3 linked regions of the Saccharomyces cerevisiae S288C genome follow. Changing the gene in region 1 together with any one later gene gives a genetic interaction. Each region holds a gene or a part of one and is shown on either strand. Other genes may lie near its edges. The genes, in order: CMR3, MDS3 and FRE3.

What was found.
Region 2: mutations in CMR3 (region 1) and MDS3 together harm fitness more than expected from each alone (negative genetic interaction), as found in Saccharomyces cerevisiae (one large-scale study listed by BioGRID).
Region 3: mutations in CMR3 (region 1) and FRE3 together harm fitness more than expected from each alone (negative genetic interaction), as found in Saccharomyces cerevisiae (one large-scale study listed by BioGRID).

What each region holds. Positions count from the first base shown.
Region 1 is NC_001148.4:584,132-587,682, reverse strand, and holds CMR3 (Cmr3p), read left to right. Parts: upstream 1-2,097; coding exon 2,098-3,051; downstream 3,052-3,551. Other genes in the region: YPR014C (uncharacterized protein), read left to right, coding at 165-494. UniProt on the Saccharomyces cerevisiae protein: Probable transcription factor involved in the regulation of the transcription of genes involved in cell rescue and defense, as well as cell cycle and DNA processing.
Region 2 is NC_001139.9:122,640-126,397, forward strand, and holds the start of MDS3 (Mds3p), read left to right. Parts: upstream 1-2,058; coding exon 2,059-3,758. Other genes in the region: EMP24 (Emp24p), read right to left, coding at 55-666; YIP4 (Yip4p), read left to right, coding at 952-1,659.
Region 3 is NC_001147.6:1,053,507-1,057,264, forward strand, and holds the start of FRE3 (ferric-chelate reductase), read left to right. Parts: upstream 1-2,038; coding exon 2,039-3,758. UniProt on the Saccharomyces cerevisiae protein: Siderophore-iron reductase responsible for reducing extracellular iron prior to import. Catalyzes the reductive uptake of Fe(3+) bound to di- and trihydroxamate siderophores.

The sequences.
Region 1 (3,551 bases):
AATGAATACCTATTGAATGGATAGAAATTCTGACTTGATTTTACGAGTTATTATTGCTGACATTAGTCCAAAGACATCTCAGTTTTGTTTCCTCTACAACCCAATGAGGAGGCTAGCCAGGGCTGTCGCCCAAAAAAATAGCCAATAAAGCGGCAACTTTCTGTATGTCTTGCATTTTTTCCGCTGACTTGGGAGTAGAGTACAGCTGCGCGGAGTCGCGTATTACAAATCTTGTACTTTGCATTCTGTGCATACGTGAGGAAAAAGCAGCACCTGTTGTGAAAAAAGATAAATTTCTTTTTTTCATTTTTCTATCCTCAAAGGAAAATCTTTTCTGCGAAATTTCTAGCCGCTCTTCAGTTTCCGAAGTAAAGTCGCTGAGGGCGAAAAACAACTTTATTTGCCCACACGCTGTTATAGGCTTCCAGGGAGCAAAAGCGCAATTGGGAATAAGGTTTCCTCAATTGAATGGTTTGCTTCGCCTACAGCATTAACCAGAAGGTAATTTGATCTCTTGTATGTCCGCTAACAGATCTTGTCCATTAATTGTTTATTTTCTTCAGGTAGGCTGAGCCCACTTTGTAGTAGCTCCCTACCATTACTTTTGGCCTTGTAGTTATTGGCTTTGATTTTTTCTTTCTATGACAATCCCGTTGAGCAACCTTGCGAAGGGCTCTTTTTGAAAAAAAGGCGTGGGCAAGATCTCTGTATCCCTTTCTCGGTTTTTTCTTCCCATTCAACAGTAATTGAGTGTCGCTATTTTGACTTACCTCAGTGCCTATTATTAGCATAAGAAATGACCCACATAGTCTGAACTCTAAATAAACCCGAATTAGGAATCAAGTACATTTCATATCCGCTAGGTTTGACAATCCTCCGTAGATAACCTTAATGATACAATGGAAAGGTTATTTTTTATTATTGTCATAGAAGTTGTTACGTGAGCAATATAACACGACGTGAATAGTACGCATACATCTTGTTGTATCGGAAACTTAAAATGCTCATAGATTTTTTGCAGCTTATATTGGTTCTTGTCTCCGTAGGAAACAACGTAATGTAGCCGATAATTTTTTTTTTTTTCGCTCGTAGGCTCTTCAGTAGATACTACTACATAATCACTGTTGTACGCACCTACTATTCTTCCAGGTAACAGTACTACAAAGGGTCTGAGACTGTGCAGTAAACCGATACGCTACAAAATTTCCTTTTCAGCTTTTGCCTGTGATGCATAGCCGCAATGTCAGAGCAAATGGAAATGAAAAGGAGGGCCTTCAAGATTGAAAAAAAGCCCGATTGGAAAATCTTCCGACACGAGGTGCAGTCAAGTACTCATAAACGATACATGTGAAAATCAATCCATATACATCGCGTACGCTCCGTACCTAAAAGTATATCTGGGTTTTGCAGCAATCTTGAGAACAATCAGGTGAGAGATGCCGTTTCTCGGGGTTAAAGAATAAAATGACGGCGATCCCTCTTCTCAGGATCGGGACTATCTCATATAGGAAATATCCTTACGGGAGCATTCCACCTTGAGCTACGAGTGATTGCCATTTACGGTGGGAAATAAGGTTTTCAGTGGATACTGGTTTTGAGGGCAGATCAAGACGATCTGTTTTTTAACTTCCGCTTTAATTCTGCGTATTATTCTGTACAAGAAACTCAAACAACAACAAAAAACAAGATAAAGAATGATGCATCAGGTTCCCGACTTATGTCCCTAAAGTTTCATAAGTAAGAAACCCGCGCGAGAACGTCATTTGAACTACCTTACAGATCTGCAGGTGGCCCGGAAAGGGCAGTCGTGTGCCTTCATCATTATTGTTGTATTCTCTGTGCCTTCTTTTTTTCCTTACTTACTATTTTGCTATATATGTGACTACTACATGTTGATGTTTCAAAATACCTCTTTTATATGCCTGTCAGGGTTTGACAAGTTGAACGAAAGATACAATTGTTAGCTTTTTATTGTTCTATGGCTTCACAATAATTCCTCAAACATTAGTATACTTTTAGTTTTGAGCTTCTTAGTTATAACACAAGTTCATCACCTACCTTCGAAAAATAGCAGTAAACGCCACTAAAGTAAATTACATGAATTTTTCCCTTTCAAAGCAAAGTTCAGAAAAACAATCATCATATACAGACAAGTCAAGATCTCCTAATATAGGAATGTGTACAGTCAATTATAAATCGAACCTCCCCCTTCAAGTGTCCGCAGTTGATCAGCTGAGCACTGGTAAGGGGACTCAATTTTATGGCCACAATAGCTACAAAAATGAACGGGAATGTTATAATAGTACGAAAATAAACTTACCACCAATTTCATCCCTTTTGCCTAATTTTGAAAATAATACACCACCTAACGTAGATTCAAGGGTTCAATTCCCTCCACAGCAAGTTTATCAAAGCATGAATGTTGTACCCATTGTTAATGAGATCTACACCCCAATTTCCATGAACGCAACATCTGATCAATATCCTATCTACTATACGGAAAGTCAGCAACCAATACCACATAGCCAGTCTCCTCATTTGACCTCCTCTGCTCCCTTGATGATGCCAGTCATGGTCCCAACAGTATATAAACCATTGACACCATACGACAAAGAACCAATAACAATTGCCTCCGAACCTAACTTCACTGCAATATCAATGGCGAGTCACCCAAACGCTGCCTTAGAGCTATGCCACGATAGGCCAAAATCAGTCCCACCTGGGTATGGCGTACTTCCAACCATGCAGGAAGCCAGTAACGGCAGAACAAAAAGCGAACCTGGTGCCGTGTTGAACGGTTCAGCAACATTTTCTGATTGGAAAACTGACACCCGAATATCATCCACAAAGCTGAGAAAGCAGTGCCCAGTATGTGGAAAAATTTGTTCGAGGCCCTCAACGCTGAAGACACATTACTTAATTCATACGGGAGATACTCCTTTCAAATGTACTTGGGAGGGTTGCACAAAATCCTTCAATGTGAAAAGCAATATGCTGAGACATTTGAAAAGCCATGAAAGGAAAAGAAACAAAGTCTTAAACACTACATAGAAACAATAGGAACGGAAAGCTTTATTGCAATGGAATTTTTAGAACTCATATTCAAAGGTAAGGCAAAACTATGTATAGACTCTAATAGAATGTTTTACGGACTTTAGAAGCAAGGGAATAAAACTAATTAAGCGCAAGTCACCTTCTTTGTTAGTGTTCTTCCCAGTTTTATATAACGGGAGTGCGTCTTCAAGTTTACTTGGACGCACAAAGACGTTTTTATGTTTATGTATTATTTCGTAAATATATGAGAGGCAAAGAAGATGGATGATGATATAATATGCAAGGGAAAATGCGTAGTTGAGGTATTGGGAAAGTTCCATGTGATCACTTGATGCAAGCCGTGCATTATTTATCAGCAGATCTATTTTCACTTTTCAATTTTTTTCAGGTTGACCCTTCAATATTTTTTTACCTCTTTTTCTAGATATATTTGCAGGGTACTCTCGATGTCCGCAGTTCGTCAAAATGATTATGATTGCCAGTAAGGCCAAGTGAAT
Region 2 (3,758 bases), on another chromosome or scaffold:
GTAATCGTATGTAGGCAAAAGTAAATAGATATGAACTACATTTTCCTGCTTTACTTAGACTAGAGATGTGACCTCAAAGAATCTTCTCAAGTAGTATATCTGGAAAAGAGAGTTTGCAATAACGACGCCCAATTGGAAGATGGACCACCATTTAACACGATCGTTGGTCGACTCTGCAGTATTTCTATGCGTCCTTTCTCTAATAACAATATAACTTTGTTCGTCCTTGACTTCCCTGGTTAATTTGGACAACTTTCTGACAGCACTATCCAATGTATTGGTGTTTGGGTCGTCCAAATCCACATATACCACCCCATGAATGTTGAAAGTCACGTCTTTTGTCTCGATACCGGTGTTCTCGTTCAAGAAACAGTATTGGAAATGTCCCTTGTATGGAGCAGACAATGTGATTTCACCGTGCGACGTGTCCCTAACCGTTTTCAAAACTTCATGTCTTTCCGGCCCGTAGATGATAAAGTCACCAGTCAGCTGGCTACTGGATTGAGGGTTTCTATCACCGAACTGGAACGAAATGGAGAGCTCGTCACCCTTACTCAAGTCTTCGAAGAAGCATCTACGGCCATAAGCTGGAAGAAGGACATTATGGGCGGACGCCGAGAAGAACAGGAAGCAAGCAATGACAAACTTAGTAGCAAATGAGGCCATCCTTATGCGTGTGTATTTTTGTGCGGAGGGATACTATTAAGATTGCAGTTTCACCAAGTATAGCTTTTTATTTCATTATAAGTTTCGTGTCAAAATGTTTAAGCGACCCGATCTCTCAGGCTGTTTTGCACGACTTTTCTGACTTTCCTCGCGTCTTTTTTCATGAAAATTGGATTACCCGGAGTGATGATTTTCTCACAGTGATTTTTCGTCCCCTTTTACAATAGCAAATGAAGCTGTTTTAGCAATATTTGTAGAAAGATATGTCACAAGAGGGCAGGCAAAATGTCATACGGAAGAGAAGACACTACGATTGAGCCCGACTTCATAGAACCAGATGCACCTTTGGCTGCTTCCGGGGGTGTTGCTGACAACATAGGCGGAACTATGCAGAATTCAGGCAGCAGAGGGACGCTCGACGAGACTGTGCTGCAAACACTAAAGCGAGATGTGGTGGAGATTAATTCCAGACTGAAACAAGTGGTATACCCGCATTTCCCCTCATTCTTTAGCCCCTCTGATGACGGGATAGGGGCGGCTGATAACGACATTTCAGCCAATTGCGACCTGTGGGCGCCCCTTGCGTTTATCATATTGTATTCTCTATTTGTATCGCATGCGCGGTCGCTGTTCTCGAGCCTATTTGTGTCTAGTTGGTTCATTTTGCTGGTGATGGCATTGCATCTGAGACTCACCAAGCCACACCAGAGGGTGTCGCTGATTTCGTACATCTCCATTTCCGGGTATTGCTTATTCCCACAAGTGCTGAATGCCTTAGTCTCGCAGATACTACTTCCATTGGCCTACCATATTGGAAAGCAAAATCGCTGGATTGTGAGGGTCCTGTCGCTCGTGAAACTGGTGGTCATGGCGCTGTGCCTGATGTGGTCTGTGGCCGCCGTTTCGTGGGTTACCAAGAGCAAGACCATTATCGAGATATACCCTCTGGCACTCTGTCTTTTTGGCATGGCCTGGTTGTCAACTATTTTATAACACTAGTTACATATGTATAAAACCCAATATCATGGACATAGAATTGCCTATCTCGCGAGCCACGGCAGAAAGTTCTGAAAAAAAAAAAAAAGAGGACGCTCACAGGGGCTGGCGTGTGGCTAAGGCAGACTCCGTGGAGTGTAAGAGAAGTTCAAAGCAAGATTAGGCTTTCTGATGAATTGGTAGCGCAGAGTCTGGCAAAGTCTATTTCAAGTTCACAGCGTCCGTTTACCACAATTGTTTGAGAACTCTTCTCCTTCCTGTGCCTATAGCCACACTTGCAAACATTACATGGTGAAGGCGCTTTAGAGACTTTTCTGTTTTACTATATATATAAGATAACATAGCGCGCGTGCAAACCAAAGGACAAGTAACAATCTGCACCTGCTTTAGCGTAGTATGCCTTTATTACAACCATCCACTTGCTTCTGCTACCCTTTGAAGCTTCCGCCATTACCACTGACTTCCGATTCCAACGAGTTTGATGAATGCGCCAGGAAAAGGTTAACGCTGGACTATAGAACAGGTTCAGCGGTGACGCTAACAAGGTCTAATATATTTGTACATGGTGGTCTAACCATCCCGTTGAACCTGCCAGTTGTAAATTCTATGCAATTACAAAAGGAGCTTATTCTCTTTTTTGCAAAGGAAAAAAACAACGGTAGTTCTTTTAGGAATTTAAACGAGTGGATAAGTAAGGAGACGTTTTTCTTAGACTTGATGTCTAGAACCTGGTACAGAGTCAAGACCTCCTTTGACCAAAGGACAGAGGAATTATTAAAGGCAGAGAGTTCTAGCGCCAAAGCAGATAATGACACAAACGAGATTAGAACGGACATTAAGAAAGGTAAATCCCTTGAATCTCCGCTCAAGGAGAGGCTATTCCATTCCTTATGTTATTTAGATGGCTGTTTATATATATTTGGTGGTCTCACAGTGTCTCCTCAGAGCGGATATGAGTTGATTGCTACCAATGAGTTGTGGAAACTGGATTTAAACACGAAGAAGTGGTCGCTTTTGAGTGATGACCCTCAAATAGCGAGAAGGTTCAACCATACCATGCATGTAAAGAACGAAAATAACGATAATAGAGACACGAAATTAATAATTGTCGGAGGTCTTAATAACATGGATCAGCCGGTCAAGAAAATAGACATCTATAACATCTCACAGAATTGCTGGCAATCCGAAACCATACCCAAACAACCGATGGAAATCACTACAAATGTCAATGGCATACCATTAGCATTATCAAAGGATCAGAATTTTTCGATTTTAGTTGAAAATAATGAGGCCAACGTTCCAGCGCTGGCATTCTATATGAGAAGTGATCAAATAGACGAATATCTCGGAAAGGATTCATCAAAGATAAAGGAGAATTCGCCTATAGTGGCGTTGCCGCTATTGTCTGAATCGCAAGGTATTAGAATGCCCTCAAACCCGGCATTACCGAAAAAACTATTGAATGTTCCGTATGAGCTATTAGCACCGACAGGTGACTATTTTGGATTCAATATCATAATCGGTGGGTTTCATCCAAATTACCAATCCTCTAACTTTCATTGTTTTATATACGATATTAACTCCGGAAAGTGGTCACGAGTCGCTACCGCCTGCCCTGACTGCGATATCAATAAACATCGATTCTGGAGGGTATTTGTTTGGAAATCGCATCATCAGACGATTTTGTTGGGTACCAAGACTGATGATTATTATTCACCCAGTGTACAAAGATTCGACCATCTTTCCACTTTTGGATTACCGCTGGTAAATATTTTTAACAAGACGATCCAATTACCCCATCACAAGATCTCAGCTTCGTCTTTACCAATACCCATAGAAAATTTTGCGAAGCATAAGGATACTCCATTAAAAAAGGTGAGCTTCACTTCATCAGCTACCTCCCAATTTGAAAACTACATTAGATATATAGCTCCGCCCTTGGAAATGTCTTCTATCCAATCTGTGTTTCCACCGTATGCCATGGTTCTAGGTAAAGACGCTTTAGAGATTTACGGGAAGCCTCTTTCTGATTTTGAATTTATTACTAGTGAAGGTGACTCCATTGGTATACCATGCTATTTGCTGAGGAAAAGATG
Region 3 (3,758 bases), on another chromosome or scaffold:
AATGCCGTTGTGACACTTAAATAGTCATATCACATGCGGATACACTTCTAATACACTAGTCTTCTTTCACTGCCCTTTATTTATAAGACTCATGTCCAGTCTATTTTTTTTTTAAAAAAAAAGACTTTCAAGCTTTTTACAACTTGATATTCTAATATGAATAATGAATAATGAATAATTTAATTAATTGTTTTGTTTAAATTTTGTTCGGTCTCGGCTATATTTGGAAGAAAAATAGCCAGTACATACTTTCTACCACTTTCGCTCAATTATCAATAAAAACATTTAATCGAAAGTCATTCAAACTGAAAACTTCAAAAGTCATTTTTTTATTGCTTCCCATTCCAATCACAATTATGCTTTGAGCCAATTTCAGTAAAACTTTGAAAATACGTAGGCGCATCGCATCGCCTAACTTAATTCGCGGTTTAACTAGCTTCCTCCACCAGTTCCATAAAAAAATGATGGATCAGTGCAAAAAAATTTTATCATAAATCTGATGAAGTATACTAAGCTGAATAAGCTGTAGGCCTTATTTGCTTTTTTCATACCCTTGGTTGGTACGACAGTAAAGATTGGCAGGTTCGGAGATACAACTTTTTTTGAGGCTTAGAATGCTCGGCCTGCATAAAATGGCGTTAAAGTTGCGCACAGGCCCCGGAAACCCTGCCAAGGAATATTACATAAGTTGCAACATCTTTTTCCAATACATGGTTAGAGAGTTTTTAATCGTTATACTTTTTTCTCATTTGATTAAAAAATATAAAATGAATTGCGAAATTCTTCTAGAAATGCGTTACTATTTTACGGTTGGCATTGCAAGATTATTATAACTACGAAGCAGTGTTGGAAAATATCATCTGGGAAGAAATTCCTATTTCTTGGGAAGAATTACATGTGCATAAAAAGATAAAACCCTCGATCACCCAAAATTGACTTTGCGACTAAAAAGTGATTTTTTCAGCATATTGCATTTCAAAAAGTCGTTGTTTAGCACAACTCATAGAAAATAAATACTAGTATGATTCGGGAATTATTTATCAGTTAATTATAGGAGTACAGCCTTTTATAGAGTTGGCGAAGATAGCCAAAAGATAAAAGCTTTGACGTACGTCTGTAAAAAGTGCCTTTTCTGATCGAATCCAGTTGCTCAGATATCCGGGAAGTTGTTAGCATTCATTGCTTTTCTGCACTATATCAGCATATGAATGCTTTCAGTATTTTAATTTTACCCTTTCACGAAGTACGCCAGAAAATGATTGGAAACGTACTCAAAAACAAAGCAGGAAATAAGCGACGAAAATTTTTCATTTCAATTAAGAGGTACTGAGCGGCTACTTAACTTTTTCTGCAGTAAGTAATGACAGAGTATCACTACAGAATTCTGTGCCTCCGGTCTGGGAATGCAGCTAGGGAGACAGCACCCTTTTGCTAATAATGCGCCGGAAATGAAACATTTAGATAAAATCTAAAGTTACGAAAACAATACACTTTGAGGGAAAGATATCAGAGAATTAAAAGCTGCAAAGAACTATGACAAATTAACCGCTTTGTTGACCCTAGATCATAGTTTACACTGCGAACGGGATAGTTGCAACCTCTTTTGTAAAATGCACCCATATCTCATTTTGCCTTTATTTCGGGTGTATAATAGGAGAAAAATTTGAATGGTAAAGAATAAGTCCCTTGCGAGTGTCAAGAGAAGCACAATTATTATTACTATTGGTGACGTGATTGAACTCGAGAATTTTCCTGGACCGATATTTGAGTTTTACGTGGAATGTGGGTGTACCTCATCTCAAAGAATTGGCGAAAAGCCAAACTTCTTAATTCTAACAAAAGCTACTGATTCGTTGGCGATGAAAGACTCTTTTTTTTGGCTGTCAGAAGCTTTCATCTTTGACATAGATGTACAGAATTTGATCAATTGTTTATATTAAAAGATTCGTCGCAACTTATATAAGGTGGCAAGAGAATGATTAACTTCAATTGCTGATGAACGTTCTCAATTCAAAAATTATAAGACACAAGGAAAACAATGTATTGGGTCCTCCTTTGTGGTTCTATTTTGTTATGCTGCTTGTCAGGAGCAAGCGCCTCCCCTGCTAAGACAAAAATGTACGGCAAGTTACCACTGGTTTTGACAGATGCCTGCATGGGAGTTCTCGGCGAAGTAACCTGGGAGTATAGTAGTGACGATTTATATTCCTCACCAGCATGTACATATGAACCGGCATTACAGTCAATGTTGTATTGTATTTACGAATCATTGAATGAAAAGGGTTATTCCAATAGAACCTTTGAAAAAACCTTTGCTGCTATCAAAGAAGACTGCGCATATTACACTGATAACCTTCAGAATATGACTAATGCAGATTTCTATAATATGCTGAATAATGGAACAACATACATAATACAGTATTCTGAAGGTAGCGCGAATCTTACGTATCCAATCGAGATGGATGCCCAAGTGAGAGAAAACTATTATTATTCTTACCATGGTTTCTACGCCAACTACGACATTGGTCATACTTATGGTGGTATTATTTGCGCCTATTTTGTAGGTGTTATGATTCTTGCCAGCATACTCCATTATCTAAGTTACACTCCGTTTAAAACTGCCTTATTTAAACAAAGACTTGTAAGATATGTGAGAAGATATTTGACAATACCTACTATCTGGGGTAAACATGCGTCGAGCTTTTCTTACCTTAAAATTTTTACAGGCTTCCTTCCCACACGATCTGAAGGCGTCATTATACTTGGATACCTCGTGCTTCATACAGTTTTTCTGGCATACGGGTATCAATATGATCCTTACAACTTAATTTTCGACTCTCGTAGAGAACAGATTGCTCGATACGTGGCAGATAGAAGTGGTGTCCTGGCATTTGCACATTTTCCCCTAATAGCTCTTTTCGCAGGAAGGAACAATTTTCTAGAATTCATTTCTGGAGTAAAATATACCTCTTTCATAATGTTTCATAAGTGGTTGGGAAGAATGATGTTTTTAGATGCTGTGATTCATGGCGCTGCTTATACCAGTTATTCCGTATTCTACAAAGATTGGGCAGCAAGCAAGGAAGAGACATATTGGCAATTTGGAGTAGCTGCTCTTTGTATAGTTGGTGTTATGGTGTTTTTTTCTTTGGCAATGTTCAGAAAGTTTTTCTATGAAGCCTTCTTATTTCTCCATATTGTGCTTGGCGCATTGTTCTTTTATACGTGTTGGGAGCACGTCGTAGAATTGAGTGGGATTGAGTGGATATACGCTGCTATTGCTATCTGGACTATTGATAGGCTAATTCGAATTGTTAGAGTATCTTATTTCGGTTTCCCTAAGGCTTCCTTACAGTTAGTTGGCGATGACATCATTCGAGTCACAGTCAAACGACCAGTAAGGCTATGGAAAGCCAAACCAGGACAGTATGTTTTCGTTTCATTCCTACACCACCTGTATTTTTGGCAGTCACATCCTTTCACAGTCTTAGATTCAATTATCAAAGATGGTGAGCTGACTATTATCCTGAAGGAAAAAAAGGGAGTAACAAAACTTGTCAAAAAGTATGTGTGTTGCAATGGAGGTAAGGCATCTATGAGACTAGCTATAGAAGGTCCATATGGCTCTTCATCTCCAGTCAATAATTATGATAACGTCTTGCTACTTACGGGAGGTACTGGTTTGCCAGGGCCCATTGCACACGCCATTAAACTTGGAAAAACGTCAGCGGCAACTGGAAAACAATTCATAAAATTAG